Linked DNA regions of Astyanax mexicanus. The protein of the gene in region 2 interacts with the protein of the main gene of each other region in a biochemical or structural test. Links are inferred from orthologs where the notes say so. Each region holds a gene or a part of one and is shown on either strand. Other genes may lie near its edges. The genes, in order: pqbp1 and WW domain-binding protein 11.

What was found.
Region 1: the proteins of WW domain-binding protein 11 (region 2) and pqbp1 form a complex in vitro, tested with the Homo sapiens proteins (2 studies listed by BioGRID and IntAct, with this or other methods). The link is inferred for Astyanax mexicanus from reciprocal best matches to the Homo sapiens genes WBP11 and PQBP1.

Annotation. Positions count from the first base shown.
Region 1 is NC_064419.1:20,724,615-20,733,769, forward strand, and holds the start of pqbp1 (polyglutamine-binding protein 1), read right to left. Parts: upstream 3,872-9,155; 5' UTR 3,720-3,871; intron 1,596-3,719; coding exon 1,529-1,595; intron 1,425-1,528; coding exon 1,313-1,424; intron 922-1,312; coding exon 821-921; intron 1-820. Other genes in the region: timm17b (mitochondrial import inner membrane translocase subunit Tim17-B), read left to right, coding at 5,303-5,328, 7,721-7,820, 7,904-7,967, 8,543-8,671. UniProt on the Homo sapiens protein: Intrinsically disordered protein that acts as a scaffold, and which is involved in different processes, such as pre-mRNA splicing, transcription regulation, innate immunity and neuron development.
Region 2 is NC_064410.1:8,167,351-8,176,116, forward strand, and holds the start of WW domain-binding protein 11, read right to left. Parts: upstream 3,564-8,766; 5' UTR 3,309-3,563; intron 2,579-3,308; 5' UTR 2,569-2,578; coding exon 2,505-2,568; intron 1,783-2,504; coding exon 1,751-1,782; intron 1,656-1,750; coding exon 1,562-1,655; intron 1,049-1,561; coding exon 852-1,048; intron 641-851; coding exon 507-640; intron 1-506. Other genes in the region: bglap (osteocalcin), read right to left, coding at 5,747-5,849, 5,949-6,036. UniProt on the Homo sapiens protein: Activates pre-mRNA splicing. May inhibit PP1 phosphatase activity.

The DNA.
Region 1 (9,155 bases), on a different chromosome or scaffold from region 2:
AACTATAGGTTTTCATAGGATCTCCGGTGGATTTTGTGTTTTACACTAAGACTAGGTCAGTGGCTGAACTGCACTTGGCAGGGCATTACACATGTTGTAAAGTAAAATGTCTTTATTTTAAAATGTTTTTAACTGTTGTCCGTCTCATTGCCTCGCAGTGCTGTTGGCCAATCAGAATCGATATGTTTGAAATGTATGAATATTCATGAGCAAGAGCCCTTTTCTAAAAAAAAATAAAATCAAAAAACAGCTCACATGGTATTCTTTCATTCTAGAGACCACAACTAGAAAAATAAATATAAAAAATAAAGTAATGAAAAATTGATGGAATGACACCTTTAAGGTGTCAGGGTGTTTAAAACACAGGTGGTACAAAGGTTCCTTTGAGAAATGCTTCTCATTAATGGTCCCAAACAAAGGTCTCTTTAAATAAAGGTCAGGTTCTTCAAGATTTTAAACAAGGCATGCACTCAAATAAATTAATATTAAAAATTAACATTCCACCACTTAACATTAACATAACAAAGCATTAAAATAAATTAGCTATTGTTCAATTTATTTTTTTCTGTATGCAGTTAAACACGAAAAGTGCTTTTTGTTGCCATTTTCATCTGAATCATTTTGGTTGCTGAGCATATTTTCTGCATCCCTATTTTAAACCATTATTCACACTAATAGCACTTTTACAAACACGGCCTTTGTGGAACCAAATGTGATTCCTCTGTGGCATCGCGCAAAGAACCTTTTGAAGCACCATTATTTTATAGCGTGTAGAGAGAAATTAAAAGTTCTAGAGTGATTTCACTCATCAGCTCTTTACCTCTCTGCTTCTTGGCTGCTTTAGTGATGAGCGCAGCAGGGTCATTGGGAGACAACCAGGACACCAAGTCTGTCTCTACGTTCCAGTAGTATGGGAGACCACTGAAAACAAACACAAGGGACGTTTGTGTCATTAAATATTTATAAAGCAATGATATAGGGGGGAAAATAATTTTATTTTATTCTTCCATATTTCTGTTATATCATCAGGCTCATTATGGTGTATACATGAATAACACACTAATCCAATCACAGCAAGTTTCATTACATAATCTGTTGTTATTGTCCAATCTAGCCCATTTAAAACTCTGGCAAAAGATTTAAATGAGGTGTCACATAAAACACATATATGAAGTCAATATATGGAACTAAGAAGATGCAATCCAGATAATTTGAATGAATGTTTTTTGTGTTATTTTTTATGTAATGTAGTACACAAGGGTTCTAGCATTGCAACGAGATTAAAACATAGTGCAATACAGGAAGCACTTACCAGGTAGGGTCCAGTACTTTGTACCAGTTGGTGGGTAAATTTTCAACCCTTGTAGCTTCATAGTCTACATTGTTGTCGTCATAGTCTTCAGCAATGATTTCCTCTTCATTGTCTTAAGAACAACAACATATCCAATCAGTCATAAGCAAAACATACATTGTATATTGACTACATTAAGAAGTACAGCTGACTATGTACTGTAAGCTGACATCTTACCATGTTCTGACTGCTTTAGGATTCCTCTCTTGGCCAGACGAGCCAGAAGAGCTGGTGGCAGAGGCATCTGGGGAGAAGAAAAATGGAGAGATATTTTGCATATTAATAACATGAAATTGTTAATTGTTGGTAAATTTATCTAGATTTTAGTAAGACACTCTAGAGAGATGAGGAAATCGCACAAAGATGCTCGTTATTATACATATGACTGTATATCCTGAAGATGTGAAAACATAAAAAAACAATTGCTGATGGGTGCGGATGTGTGGGCACAACCTGTTTGCAATATGTTTTATAGCTTTTTACAAGTAATGAAAGCTTGGCTTTCTTATGCCTGCTCATTACACCAATCAAAAAACAATAACTTTGTATTTTAGACAAGAACATAAAGCAACCAGATAAAAAAAAAAACATTAGTTGACTTACATGCCAACAACTGCATTTACAAATGGGGTGAACACATCCACCCAGATCTAGTCAATTTAAACTACAGACCAAACCCTAAAATCAGAATAGACGATACAGCACCACTCTCTAAAAAATAAAGATGTGTCTTAAAGCAGTAGTTCTCAACCCTGGTTCTGGTGTACCACTGTCCAGCATGTTGTAGTGTTTAGATGCTGCTTTAGTAGCAGAATTGGACTAAGCATAAATATTTTTAACTTACATTTATTTTGTTTGATTAGAGCTGAAAAATATATTGATATTTTTTCATACTGATAAGGATTAATTTCCTTCCTTCAATCAACTATATCATCATTGCTTAAAAAGCACTGACCCAAATGTACATTTATTGACAGAGTGTAAAAAAATTCTATTTCATTTTAGAATTTATAGAAATCACAGTATTCTACATAAAAAAGTATTTGAACAGTTAAAACACAATGCATACAGTTAATCAAATGATTATCTTTAAATACTGTGATATAATATTTTGCCATGTTATACAGATCTATTAGTATGTGATTACATACACCAAGGCTGGCTTTTACACTGTTCATAAAGATATTGGTATTAATTTAGAACTGGGCAAAAAAAGTTTTCGTTTATTTTGCACCATGGTCTTGGAATAACATTAAAAACAAATCACAGAGTTGGTTTTCTTGAGTGAGCTTAAATCCTTTCTGTGATGAATTCTGTGATAAGTAAAAAAATGTCTGTGATGGAAACATGCAATGGCTACTCTGACATGCCTGTTTTGTGCTTTCATGTTGGTTTTGTGTTTATTCTAAATGTAAATAAATGTTGTAATGTTCTGTAACTAGTGCTTCGACAGTGTCGATTATTTAAATGTGTCGACTACAAATTTCATTTTTGACTAATCGTTAATTTGTAACAGTACCGCATTACACAAAGTGGTGACAGAAACACAATGGGAGATGGTAAATGGCTCACTCATACAGTTTACACTCAATTTAGTATGTGTCTCCAAAAGTGCTCAAACACAACAGGTTACATATTTAATCACTACATATCAGTAGTTTACACGTTTAAACAACTTCTAGGCATTTAAATTGCTTTATAATTCTCATGTTCTATCGTTTTAGAGATGGGGGATCTGGCAGAAATAATCATTGAGTAATCGACTAGTCGAAAAAATAATCATCAGATTAGTCAACTACCAAAATATTCATTATTTGCAGCCCTATCTGTAATTGGAAATGGTGTGCCGTCCTGGCCAGATCTCCCTTGAAAAATAGATTTTTATCTCAAGGGACCTCCTGGTTAAAAAAATTAAGTAAATAAAAAAATATCGTATTGACCGAAATTAAGAATTATATCGTAATATTTTTTTTGCCATATCGTCCAGCACTATGTTTGGTCCTGACTCTTAGCAACTAAACCAGTGTTGTGGTCTGTGGCACTCTTAATTTATTTCTACTTCTTAGGACAGCTGTAACATTTGGTTGTATTATTGATGATCATTAAGGTGCTGTTTGCAGAGTAAAAACAAAACACGAGTTACAGCAAAACTAGTTACCCAGCACTTTCATTCAGCCCTCAGACTTAACGCTAGCTTAGCTAAATAGCATAGCACGTTACCCCAGCGTACTCAGACTCCTATTTAAACCATTATCTGCTGTATTTCAGCTAGATATCCATGCAAACCAGTGTCACAGCAGGCAATACAGTCTGCAGCATCTGTAAATAATCCACATTGATAAATTGAGAGAACCGCTGGTTTATTTACCTTAATAACAGCCGCGCGCTGCTAACTTTTCATTCACAGCAGCTACCAGCTTCAGTCGGCGCAGAAAAATGACGTCACGCTCCTCCCCCTTGTGGTCCCAGTGGGATTTAAGTGTTTTTGCTTGTTATAGAGAGCTATGGACAAGCATATAGAATAAATGAAATAAATAAATTACGTTAAATTAATTATAATAAAATTATACAGCTTATCGAGTGTCCGCTCCAGTCAAACAAGGAGTTTGATATGGTCCAATGAAATTAACAGTCCTTGGCGTTTCTGTTGAGACAGCCAATCACAGCACGGGATTACTTGTAGCGATCCTCCAACCGCAAGCAAAATGTAATAAAAGTACTTTATTTTAAATAATAAAAAAAACGACAAGAATGAAGATTCAGAATTATTTTAACCATTTCTCTTTCTTGACGTAATTTTGTACCTGGTACTTGGACCAATGCAAATGCTGCAAAATGACTTGAATAAACGAACCTGTTTTACGTCATCTTATACTTTGTGGCAATTTGGGCACCACAGGTTGGTGTTTTTATTCTCTACAGAAAACACAACCTCCAGGCATTTAATTGATTGTGAGAGTGGATGTTGAATAGCGTTTTATGTGTTACTAATGAGGAGTTGTTACTTTTTTGTGAGATTTACCTGAGAATTTGTGAATATATATAACATTTGGATTTGTAAGTGTTTTAGCCATTGTACTAATAAAGTGCAGTTAAAAGTATCTTTCTATCTTTCTCATGATACCCACTCTGTATGTCTGTCTATCTCTCTCTTTCTCTCTCTCTCTCCCTCCCACTTAGTCCAGTTCAGTTTAATAGTGATTTATTAGCATAAATGTAAAAAGAAACACTATTGCCAAAGCATATGACAGAAAACACATAAAAGCAAAATAATAATAATAATAATAATAATAATTACATACATGTATACAATTACAACAACTGGAGCTATTTACAGGCGTAAGCATTATTATTATTAATTATAATTGACAAGAAAAGGAAAATAAGGGTGAAAAGACTATAAATACGTAATAATAAGGAATAAATCAGTGATTTCGGTAAATTAGTTATAATAATTTTGTGTTTTTGTCCACACTGGTTTTCCCTCAGTGAGTGATCAGCTCCTTACTCCCTCTATCTCATGATACCCACTTTGTCTATCTGTCTCTGTTTCTCTCTCCATACCCATTCTAATTATTTTACGTTGTCTTTCTCTAGCACTCATTTGGCCACCAATGGTCAGTGTATTTATTTCTCTACAGAAAACATTTGTGCATTGACATAATGTATACTAAGTGTAACTGTACAATAACTTTGTATTGTGTGTTTATTTTCTTAATTAAAAAATGAGAAATACCTGGTGTAGGTACAAATACTGACATTTTAAATATTTTTTAATTTAGTTTATATACATTTAATGTACAAAGTTGGCATGTGTGCCTTATATTTTTTGTACTAGAAATGCAGACTCTCTTCTCTCTGGGGTGGAAAATCATTGCTAATCCTGTCCATCAGGTGGCGCTGAAACCCCGGCGGGCGGCTGCGTCACGGCGCCGAGGTCAGCGGCTGATCATGGAGGAGTATGCCCGTGAACCCTGGTAAAGTACAACTTCTGAGACAGCTTCTCTCTTTAACTAAACCACCGGTAAACAGAGCCGCTCTGACTCCGCTCAGAGGAGCATTTCCCCCGCCTGTGTGTGACTGTGTGTCGGCTCTGTTTCCTGTAGTTCCTGCAGTGAGTGTATGTGTGTGTTTGTGTGTGTGTGTGAGTGCAGTACAGCGCTCGGTTAGCGGGGCTGGCTAACAGCATAAACACCTCCTCCTCCTCCTCCTCAGGGTCGGGCTGCGAGTCTTACATCAGTGGAGCTATACACACACACACGAATATACAAATACTCACAGATACTACACATGCAGGAGGACCTCTTAGCCAGTAACAGCGTTTAATTACCACAGTAACGCACATTTAAATTCCTTAATAAGTAAAAGTAAAGTAAAGTAAAAATACAGGGAATTTTAGATTATATTGTCTGTTTTGTTATTTCTTAATTTGTCTTAGTTCTCCCGGTGTTTTCTCTTTGTCCTCCATAATTTTCCCAGTTTTCTGACACCATGTATGCTTACTCGTCTTACTTTACCACTCTTTATTTTATTAGTTTTTTTCTCATCTTTTTTTCTCACGGTTTTTACAGTTTTACTATTTCTCTGCATCTGTTTACTTCTCGCTTTCTGACCTTTACTTTCTCTGTTTGTCTATACCACCCGCTTCCCTGTTTCTTTTATTATACATAATTTAATCTCTCTGTCTCTCTCTTTCTCTCCCTTTCAGTCTCTCTGTCTGTATCCTTCTTTCAGTCTCTTTTAGTCTCATTGTCTTCTTCCCTTTCTCTCTCTTTCAGTGTCTTTGTCTCTTTCTTTTAGTCTATCTCTCTTTCTTTCAGTCTCTCTCCCTTTCTCTTTCAGCCTACCTCTCTTTCAGTCTCTCTCTCTCTGCATCCCTCTTTTTCTCTCTCTTTCAGTCTCTCTTTTTCTGTGTCTCCCTCTTTCTCCCTTTTGCAGTCTCTCTCTCTCTCTCTCTCTCTCTCTCTCTTTTTCTCAAAATACCCACTCTGTCTCTATTTCTATGTAATACCCTCTCTCATTCTCACGATTATACCCACCACTTACTCTATAATCTGTTTTTCTCACTCTGCTCTGCCCATTCTGTCTGGCTCTCTTTTTTCTCTCTCTTTCTGTTTTCTTTTTGTCTTTCCAAGATTCAACATTTAAAGTCGTTTTTTTCTTGCCTAACTGTAACTGTTTCTGTCAATGTTTGTCAGAAAATTAACAGAAAAAGAACAACAGTAATTATTAATATTTATTAGAGGTGTGCCAAAAAATCGATTCACATAAGAATCTTGATTCTCATTTACTACGATTCAGAATCGATTTAAAATGTCCCAAAATCGATTCTGAGGGGCGGGTTTTGGACTGATTTTGGGCTGGGTATTTTTGTTGGACCTGGCAACCCGCTTGTCCCTTCAAACCGAGGTCTTCCAGACCCACACAGAGCGTAGTAGGTGTTTGAGAATCACCGGTAAGATGGCAGAACAAGCACTATATTACTTTAGATTAACGTGTAGTTTTAATGTTTTATGGCAGAATGCTTCATAACAAGCATAAAAAAGATCGCTAGTAGTTAGTTTCAGTAACTGTTAGCTAGCTAACAAGCTAACTTTCCAGTTCCACCTTAAATAACGCTACAGGTGGCTGCGGGCTGCAGCATTTAAGGCGGAACGGAAAAATAACAATAAGCTAATCAGAGCTAATTTCAGCTCCTCATCACAGAGGAATTAAGGAATGGACAATATGAATTAATTTCTCCACCTCCTGCCCCCTTTCTGAAGAAATACAACGACCTTAAATTAACTAGTTAATCAGCAGCTGCTCCTGAACTTTAGCGCTCCACTGCTATCATCACATCAGCCCAGCAGCGTCACCTACACACCACCGCTAGTAGCCTGGTAATAAAGCAGTGTTATTTATTATTTATTTATTGTTCATTAACGTCATTGTGATATCCCAGTGATTCCTCTGTCACTGAGGACCCACATTCCTGCACATTTTATTGTTTTTGTAACACATTACTTGCTCCAGGACCAGTGTATATTATGGAGGGGTTTTTTTTTCAATAAGATTCATAAGCCAGAAGCAGAAATTTTTATAATTCAAATCGTTTTGAATCAAAAATCGATTTTGAATCGAATCGTGGCCCCCAAAATCGGAATCGAATCGAATCGTGAGATAGTAATCGATTCCCACCCCTAATATTTATAGACAACAGTCAGGTATGGTCTCTAAGGTGGTGACCCACTATAATAATACCCACTCTATCTGTCTATCTGTCTTCCTCTGTTTGTCTGTCTTATCTACCTGTCTTTCTCTGTTTCGTGATACCTCATGATCTTTTTTTCGTTATGTGTCTTTTTATCTCTTTATTTGCTCTCTCAGTCCTTGGAGAATAGTAGATGACTGCGGAGGTGCATTCACGATGGGGGCCATCGGTGGGGGGGTGTTTCAGTCCATCAAAGGCTTCAGGAATGCGCCTGTGGTGGGTGTTTCAGTGCCTAAATAATGACCTGATTTCATGCTGATTGTGAATTCTTTTGATTCTGATTAATCTCTCTCTCTCAGGGCGTACGACACCGGCTGAAAGGCAGTGCGAACGCTGTGAGAATTAGAGCACCGCAGATCGGTGGTAAGTTTTTCTGTTGTCCTGATTCTTGCTCTATTCTTCTCCTGCCTCTTTGTTCTCCTTCTGTTACAGTGAGAGACAAGCACAGACTGACCTGGATTCCCTGAGAGTATCAGTATTTTTACTGGGCTTGTGCTTCAGCCAAAAAAGATCAGGTTCCTAATAGTAAACAAGTGCTGTCAGGTATCAGTGTTACAGATATGATTATATTTGCTGCTTCATTCATTCACTCTCTGTTGGCATATGAGACTAAAACAGGTTCCTAACGACACTTATCAGGGCAGAAACTAAATGCTGCAGCTCCTCCTACTTTCTTGGCTGGTTAAAGGGGTGTTTTCATTGAATATCACAGCTTCATTTGACATAAAAATATACTAAATAATAAAAAACAATATAAAATCCTATTAAAAAAATATATGGTCCACACTCCAGTCTATACTGTCAGAGATGTGCAAATATATATGCTGTGTTTCTTAGTTACTGTGGTCAGACACTCACACATTGAAGATTAGCCAAGCTGGTTAAGTTGGTCCAATAAGTGAAGAGATATTTAATGTGTGTGTGTGTGTATTTTGCAGGAAGTTTTGCTGTGTGGGGAGGCCTCTTCTCTACCATAGACTGTGGCCTGGTGCGGCTGAGGGGTAAAGAAGACCCCTGGAACTCCATCACCAGCGGAGCCATGACTGGAGCCATTCTGGCAGCACGCAGTGAGTGTATAACTGCATCATGGCTGCATTATACTGGGAACCTCTTTATACGGCTCTGCCTAAAAAACAAAATAGCACAGTGAGAGGTTATGACATCCAACAGTCATATCCTGTAGGCCTGTGCAGCGTTCTTTATTCTCCATGGGACATGGCAAAAACTTTGTCATGGACACAAAACTTTTTTTCTTGGGGTTTGTGGGGGAGGAGGGTAGGGTTAATTCAGTGATCTAAAGCAGGGCTAAATAGAAACACCTGAACACTTGTTTCACAAAAAACGGCTCACATGCCATTGATTCATACTAGAGACCACAACTACACATTTTAAAATGAATGAAAAAATGATGGAATGAGATCTTTTAATTAAATGTAATACTGCCAAATTTGTAAAAAAAAAAATAAATGGATCAGTGCACGAAGCACCTGTGTGTGCCTGCATGCAGTTCCAGTGCTAGAATGTAAGAAAATCTATCAGCCAAAGTCTTTT
Region 2 (8,766 bases):
TCTAGAGAGAAATTGCTCATGTAGTTTGTTGTGACCCATTTTGATGCACAAAACCAAACCAAACCTAAATAAAATAAGCGGGGAAAAAATAGTATCTCTATTTTTATCGATTTTTAGTTTTCTACATAATTTGAACAGACAAACTGTACCTTACACTAGGCCAACATTTCTTAATGAATGGACCAATAGAAATACTTAAAAATGACCTAAAATTTTTTAACATTGACTTCCAAAATAATTTGGAGTTACTTTTTTTTCATTGGACAGCAACAATTTGTTCACACATCCTTAGTATTTCTAAATATATTTTGACATAGAGATTTTTTAGTATGGGAGGCTGACAAAGCTTCAGGACACTTCTGGGCGGTTAAAAAAAATCTCAAAAAAATCCACAGAGCATTCTGCAGTACTCTAAAACGAGCGAAAATGGATGACTTGATCTCGATTATTTATACTGATTTGTTTAAATATATATGCATTATTTTATCAGGATTAAGGTGATTTACCTAAAGGCTGAGCTCTTTTTCAGAATGGAGGGTGGCTGGGCACCGGGTAGTGGAATGTCCTGGATCAGAACGCTGGATGGAGCATGGGGCATCTCCGGCAGCGGGATACTGTCCACTTCCACAGACTCCGCATTCTGAAGGAAAAACACATAAAAACTGTCACAAAGAGACAGACGGAATCGGCTCACTGGACAATCAGAACCTCATCAGACACTATCAACTGGAAATAATCTATCTGGGAATAACAGAAGCTTCGCTACAGCGCTGACCTGCATCTCCAAATGCACAAACACACACATGTTGACACACACGGACATTAAGATATGCGAGTGCAAGTACACAAACCTTCACAGAGTCAAAGTAGAGAGAGAGCTGTCCGCGTTTGGTCTCATAATCCAGCTCCAGTTTTCGAAGTTCTTTATAAGTATCTGGATTTTCTCGCTCATAAAGTCGCACAATCCTCTCAAACGTCTCGCGGAGCTTCTTCCTCTTATCTCTCAGAACCTTATCGTTCAGCAGAGGCTGCTGCACCGGGTTAAACTCTACCAGAGAGAAAGAGAAGAACACACACATTAATGAGCAAGAATCTAAGGCTACGTTAAGAGTCCCAGCCCAAATCGGATTTTTGGCAAACCTTGTATTCAGAATGATTTTGATAGTCTGGACAGACAGACACCACAATAAATCTGATAAAAAGGTAATCTGTATATGTACAGATGCTTCTCAAATTTAATTTCAGGTTCCTGTACCTCTTTCACAACACGACAAACAACAACCTCATCACATTTAAAAATGAAAGTGTGAGGATACAAATAGAGCACCAATGGCTAGTTACTGATTCTAACCTGGAAACCACAGCAACCAGTGCAGATATGCTTGTGATGTCCAGACATGCAAATTCAATCTCATCACTTACAAATAATGGACAAGAGCTGACAGTCATCTTAACAGATCTGATATCAGAAACTAATCTGATCTGCCTGCAGTCTGAACTTAGTATGAATATTTAGTTCAAAAGTTCACACTAAACACACACACACACACACAGCTTTTACCCATTTCATCCAGTTTCTCCATATCTCTGATGATCTGGCGGGGGTCCTTCATCTTCAGCACCGCCGCTCTCACCATCATCCTCTGCTTCTTGTTCTAGATCACACACACACAAACACACACAGTAAATCTGCTGTGGCACACAAAACGTATAAACACCTTATGCTCAGTACTGAAAAAGCTGTGTTTACCTTCTTCAACTCCCTCTTCCTGGCCTCCTTTCCTAAACACACACAAACATTAGTTTTAAAAGCATTTTTAGTCTGAGGTATCAGCAGCATTACTATCATGTGAGAGGGAGAAGCACTGAGAGGAAGCAAAAGACTAGGGTGGACAAGTGTATCAGTGTGTGTTCCAGGAAAGATGGAGTGTGAAATTGTGTGTTCAAGGGTGGATGGAGTGTGAGTTTCAGGATGGACAATGTGTGTGTGTGTGTGTGTGTGTTTCTGGGCAGACAGTGTATAACAGGGTGAGTTGGAGGATGGACGTTGGAGTGTGAGAGTGTGCATTACAGAATGGACAGAGTGTGAGAGTTGTCTATTACAGGATAGACAATGTGTAAGATTGTGTGTTACAGGATGGACAGTGTGTAAGAGTGTGGGTTCCATGGCAGATGGAGTGTATAGGAGTGTATGTGAGTGTGTGTGTGTGTGTTTCTGGGCAGACAGTGTATAACAGGGTGAGTTGGAGGATGGACGTTGGAGTGTGAGAGTGTGTATTACAGAATGGACAGAGTGCGAGAGTTGTCTATTACAGGATAGACAATGTGTAAGATTGTGTGTTACAGGATGTACAATGTGTAAGAGTGTGTGTTACAGGATGTACAATGTGTAAGAGTGTGGGTTCCATGGCAGATGGAGTGTATAGGAGTGTATGTGAGTGTGAGTGTGTGTGTGTGTGTGTGTGTGTGTGTGTGTGTGTGTGTGTTACGGGCGGAGAACTTACGGGCCTGATCTGTGGGGTTCATGAACTTCCCACTCTTGGTGGAGGAGGTGGACCTGCGACCCATGGCTGCTCACCTGCAAAATACAACACAAACACACCTTAACACACCTTCACTCACCACACACCTCCCTGTTCTTTTTTCTGCAGTAAATTATGGAAATGAAACACGGCAGACTTTTTCTAAAGGAATTAAGTTAAACTATGTCAGGACATATAGTTTTCCCATGAATGTATAATTAATGTTTATTTAAGTTTGCCTTTCAGACCACTGTAATGTGTGATGTTTATCAGTACATTTTCAACAAGTCAGCTCAAAATGGTTTTCATTAGTATTTACAGTTTTATAAGCTGTGCATTTCTGCCTCTCACAGTCAGAATCTCAGTTAGAGGAAAAAAAATTATTAAATAATTACGTTTTAGATTTTTTCCACTTTTGTTGTTACAGAGTGCCAAAATTGGTTAATCTGATGACTGAACTGATAAATGTTAACTTGTCCCTGTCAGCGAAAGAGCATTAACCCTGTATATGTCCCAAAATGTGCCCTAATAACTGAGAATTTGGCTTTGTTTTCTAGCTAACTTTTCGTTCCACCTTAAAATCTGCAGCACTTGCTGCAGGATTTAAGGTGCACCCAGGAATTGGAAGCTAACTGTGAATTTACGTGCAGCTAATAACGAATTTACGGTTATATCACTCCAAAAACCTTTAAAATACCTGACAATATCAGTAAATAATATTATATTAGTTAAAATATCAGTGAATAATTTAATATTAGTAATAATAGCAATGATAAAGGCAGTTACTGTTTTATTGTCCCGCTAGCCGCTCGGTCTGTCTGGTAAATCTGTGCAGGAGCTCGGATCCTCCGCGCCGGGCAGAAGCGGCCGCTCCGGCGGCGCTGTGCGGGATTATAGATCGGGGTATTGATGAACTCCGGGTTGATTAATTCGCTTTTTGATGTGTTTATGAATCGTTAGCGCTAGCATTAGCGCGCTGTGTGCGAGCCGCCATATTTACTTCCCGCCGTCTTCTTCTGAGCTGGAGGGAAACACAGCGGGGCGACGCAGCGCCTCCTACCGGCCCCTACCACACACTGCACCCCTTACCGACCCCTACAGCACACTGCACCTCCTTCCGGCCCCTACCACAAACTGCACCCCCTACCACACACTTCACCTCCTTCCACACACTGCACCTCCTACCACACCCTTCATCCCCAACCACAAACTGCACGTCATACCAAACACTTCACCCCCAATCACACACTGCACCTCCTACCACATACTGCATCTCCTACCACACACTGCACCCGCTACCACACACTGCGCCCCCTATGACAAACTGCACCTTCTACCACATACTTCACCCCAACCACACATTTAACTCACCACCAAATACTACACCTCATACCATACACTGAACCCCTAGCATATACTGCACATCCTAACATACACTGCACCCCCTACCACACACTTCACCCCAACCACAAACTGCACCTCCTACAACACACTTCACCCCAGTCTGCTGATAATACTTTCAAATAGTTTAAAATTATATGCCACACTGATACACCACTCTGTATTTAAAAGAGGAAATCAATTGGAACATTAATTCCTGTAAGATTAAAAACAATAACCAGAAGAACTCTGGTATGATCTGATGTAATTACTAATAATGCTAATGATAGTGGGTACATTGCACACACAGTGTAGCCTATGGACTGATGAAGCATCTGGTGCTGAGGTGGTGTTATGGGGAATCGGCTTACTCTAACTGTTTATTCTCATAACAGTTGTACTGTACATGCTACTAATACTGATTACTGGACAAAATTGTTGATTACCTAATGCTTTTACATTGCTCTTTGTTAGTTTGCTTTGTTTGCAGTACCTGTAAATATATTTCAATTATATAACACAAAAGTAAACAAAAAAGCATTTTGTTTTTATTGTGTTTCAGTTTTCCATTTTAATTTTGTTACTACTTCGAAATTACGTCACATTTACTAGTCTGAAATCGTCAGAATGAGCTTCCGAGGTGCACTTAAAAGCAGCATCAGTCCCACAGGCAGCAGTAAATATTTCATACATATTATATATATACTGTATATATTCAATTGAGTATTGTGCAGCTGGATGCAGGGCATGTGATTGTGTCTTTGCTATTGTAAGGGCCCAAAAAATATGCCTTATGCGGCTTGAAACGTGCAAAAGGCATGTACTAATTCTCTTAATTAATCATGGGTGTGTTTTGGGTGTAACATGAAAAAAAAAACAGTTAAAACCATAAAATCAGTGTTTCAGTAGTCATTACCTTTAAGAGGCAGGTGAGCTCTGACTTTGGCATGTTCATATATTAACAGCGCAGTGCTTTGTGCATCTCAGCAGAGGATACTAACCTGCGCATTCACACTGTGAAGGTACACCAGCAGCTCATTTACAGGAACATCCATTTTATTTTATCCTTTTGTTTTGTTTATTGTTTATGTAAAAGTTGGCTCTGTGATGCAGCATGTCCATGTGTGTGTTTAACGAGCAGGGGTGTTCACGTGCTGAGCGTGCTCATGGTGCTCCTGCATGGTTAAGATAGGATTGGGCAGCTGAGTGTTGACTGTTGTCAGGGATTTAATTAGTCAGTGGTGCACCTGTATTTCCCACCACCAAGATAGAAGCACAGCAGATATTTACCTGAACTCACCTCTCCTCCAGTAAATATATTTCTAGCCTCTGACTCTATTTTAATGGTGGGGGCTTAAAAATTGACTGTTGACAGTGTGTAGGGTCCAATAACTGTAGAAAATGTATATTTTTTGTACCTGCTGCCATATTGCACCTCTGGTCAGATGCTAAACTGCATTTTGCTGCCTTGTATTTATACATGTGTTGTAACAATAAAGTTGAATCTGAATCTGTAAATAAGAGGGACGGGGTTTGTTTATTTCAGCTTTATTTTTGCTACAGTACAATTTAACACATCAACACAGCCTTATCATCTTTTTTTTCTTCTCCTCTTCCTCTTCTTCCTGCTCCTCTTCCTCCTGTGCCTTCTCCTTTTTCTTTTTCTCTCTCCATCACTACACTGCACTAATATTAATATCAATGATGTCACTAATATTAATATTAATTCAGTGGCTCTCTTTGTTTAATAATCTACTCTAGTACTAATCCGTTTCCAGATGCTTCGCACACTCTGGGTGTGTCTAAGCAGCGGGCTGGCCCTGATTGGCTGAGGAGGAGTCAGGTTAGAAGGGGATTGGTCCGTAGTAGGCGGTGTAGGCGGCGATGATTCCCTCTGTGTCCATCATGTGCTCACAGGCCAGGTTCAGCTCACACACCTCCCGCAGACTGAGAGAAGTGAGAGAGAGAGAGAGAGAGAGAGAGAGAGAGTAAACGAGTGTATGGCATGTGTGTGTGTGGTCTGTGTGAGTGTGTGTGTGTGTGTACCTCTCCAACTGGACCTGTGTGAGGTCTGCAGCTCCAGCTCGTTTCTGCCGCACCACAACAGAGGCCAGATCTCTCTTCACAAACACACCTATAACACACACATTGATTGACAGATCATTGTAAGGACATGTGCACAGTCATGATTTCAGTGAGCAGATGTTGGTGCTGTACAACATACCATCAAGTTCCACCAGTTAACTCTTACACCACACATACTGCATTAATAGCATGTGCACACTTACACCACATTAATATCACTTACACCACATTAATATCACTTACACCACATTAATAGCATGTACACACTTACACCACATTAATAGCATGTACACACTTACACCACATTAATAGCATGTGCACACTTACACCACAGTAATATCACTTACACCACATTAATAGCATGTACACACTTGCACCACATTAATAGCATGTACACACTTACACCACAGTAATAGCATGTACACACTTACACCACATTAATATCACTTACACCACATTAATAGCATGTACACACTTGCACCACATTAATAGCATGTACACACTTACACCACATTAATAGCATGTGCACACTTACACCACATTAATAGCATGTACACACTTACACCACATTAATAGCATGTGCACACTTACACCACAGTAATAGCATGTACACACTTACACCACATTAATAGCATGTACACACTTACACCACATTAATAGCATGTACACACTTACACCACATTAATAGCATGTGCACACTTACACCACAGTAATAGCATGTACACACTTACACCACATTAATATCACTTACACCACATTAATAGCATGTACACACTTACACCACATTAATAGCATGTACACACTTACACCACATTAATAGCATGTGCACACTTACACCACAGTAATAGCATGTACACACTTACACCACATTAATATCACTTACACCACATTAATAGCATGTACACACTTACACCACATTAATAGCATGTACACACTTACACCACATTAATAGCATGTGCACACTTACACCACAGTAATAGCATGTACACACTTACACCACATTAATATCACTTACACCACATTAATAGCATGTACACACTTGCACCACATTAATAGCATGTGCACACTTACACCACAGTAATAGCATGTACACACTTACACCAGATTAATAGCATGTACACACTTGCACCACATTAATAACACTTACACACTTACACCACATTAATAGCATAAACACACTTACACCAGATTAATAGCATGTACACACTTGCACCACATTAATAGCATGTACACACTTACACCTAATTAATAGCATGTACACACTTACACCACATTAATAGCATGTGCACACTTACACCACAGTAATAGCATGTACACACTTACACCACATTAATATCACTTACACCACATTAATAGCATGTACACACTTGCACCACATTAATAGCATGTGCACACTTACACCACAGTAATAGCATGTACACACTTGCACCAGATTAATAGCATGTACACACTTGCACCACATTAATAACACTTACACACTTACACCACATTAATAGCATAAACACACTTACACCAGATTAATAGCATGTACACACTTGCACCACATTAATAGCATGTACACACTTACACCACATTAATAGCATGTACACACTTACACCACATTAATAACACTTACACCACATTAATAACACACACTTACACCACATTAATAACACTTACACCACATTAATAACACTTACACCACATTAATAACACTTATGCCACAGTAATAACACTTACACACTTACACCACAGTTATAACACGTACACACTTACACCACAGTAAAAACACTTACACCACAGTAAAAACACTTACACACTTACACCACAGTAAAAACACTTACACCACAGTAATAGCACTTACACACTTACACCACAATAAAAACACTTACACACAGTAATAACACTTACGCCGCAGTAATATCATTTTCACCACATTAATAACACTTACAACACATTTATAACACTTACACCACAGTAATAACACTTACACACTTACACCACAGTAATAACACTTATGCCGCAGTAATATCATTTACACACTTACACTACTTACACCACAGATACGCCACACACACACTTACACCACAGTAATAACACTTACACATGTACACCACACTAATTGTACTTACACCAAGGATACACCCCTTATACTATAATTCCACCAGTTTCACTACAGTTGCACCATTTACACCACAGAAATGGCACTTACACACTTATGCCCCAGTAATAGTACTTACACCAAAGATATACCATGTACACACTTACACCACAGTCATAGCACTTATACCACAGATACACCACTTATACTGTGATTCCACCAGTTTCACCACTTACATCACAGATACACAATGTTCACACTTACACCACAGGTACACCACGCACACCCTTACACCAGTTACACCACAGTAATAGCACTTATACCACAGATACACCACTTATACTACGATTCCTCCAGTTTTACTATAGTTACACCACAGTTACAACACAGTTATAGCACTTACACAGCAGTTCTGCCACTTATGCCACAGTTCCACCATGTATACCACAGTTACACTTCATATACTACACCACTTACACTGCAGTTATACCATTTACACCACAGTTTCACTGTTTACACTACAGTTCCATCATTTACACTATAGTTGTACCATTACACCACATTTACACCACGTTCACTAGAGTATTACCAGTTACACCACAGTTATAGCAATTACATGCAGTTCCTCCATGTCCACCACAGTTATGCCACTTACTCCACAGTTACATCACTTACACTACAGTTTTACCAGCTACACTA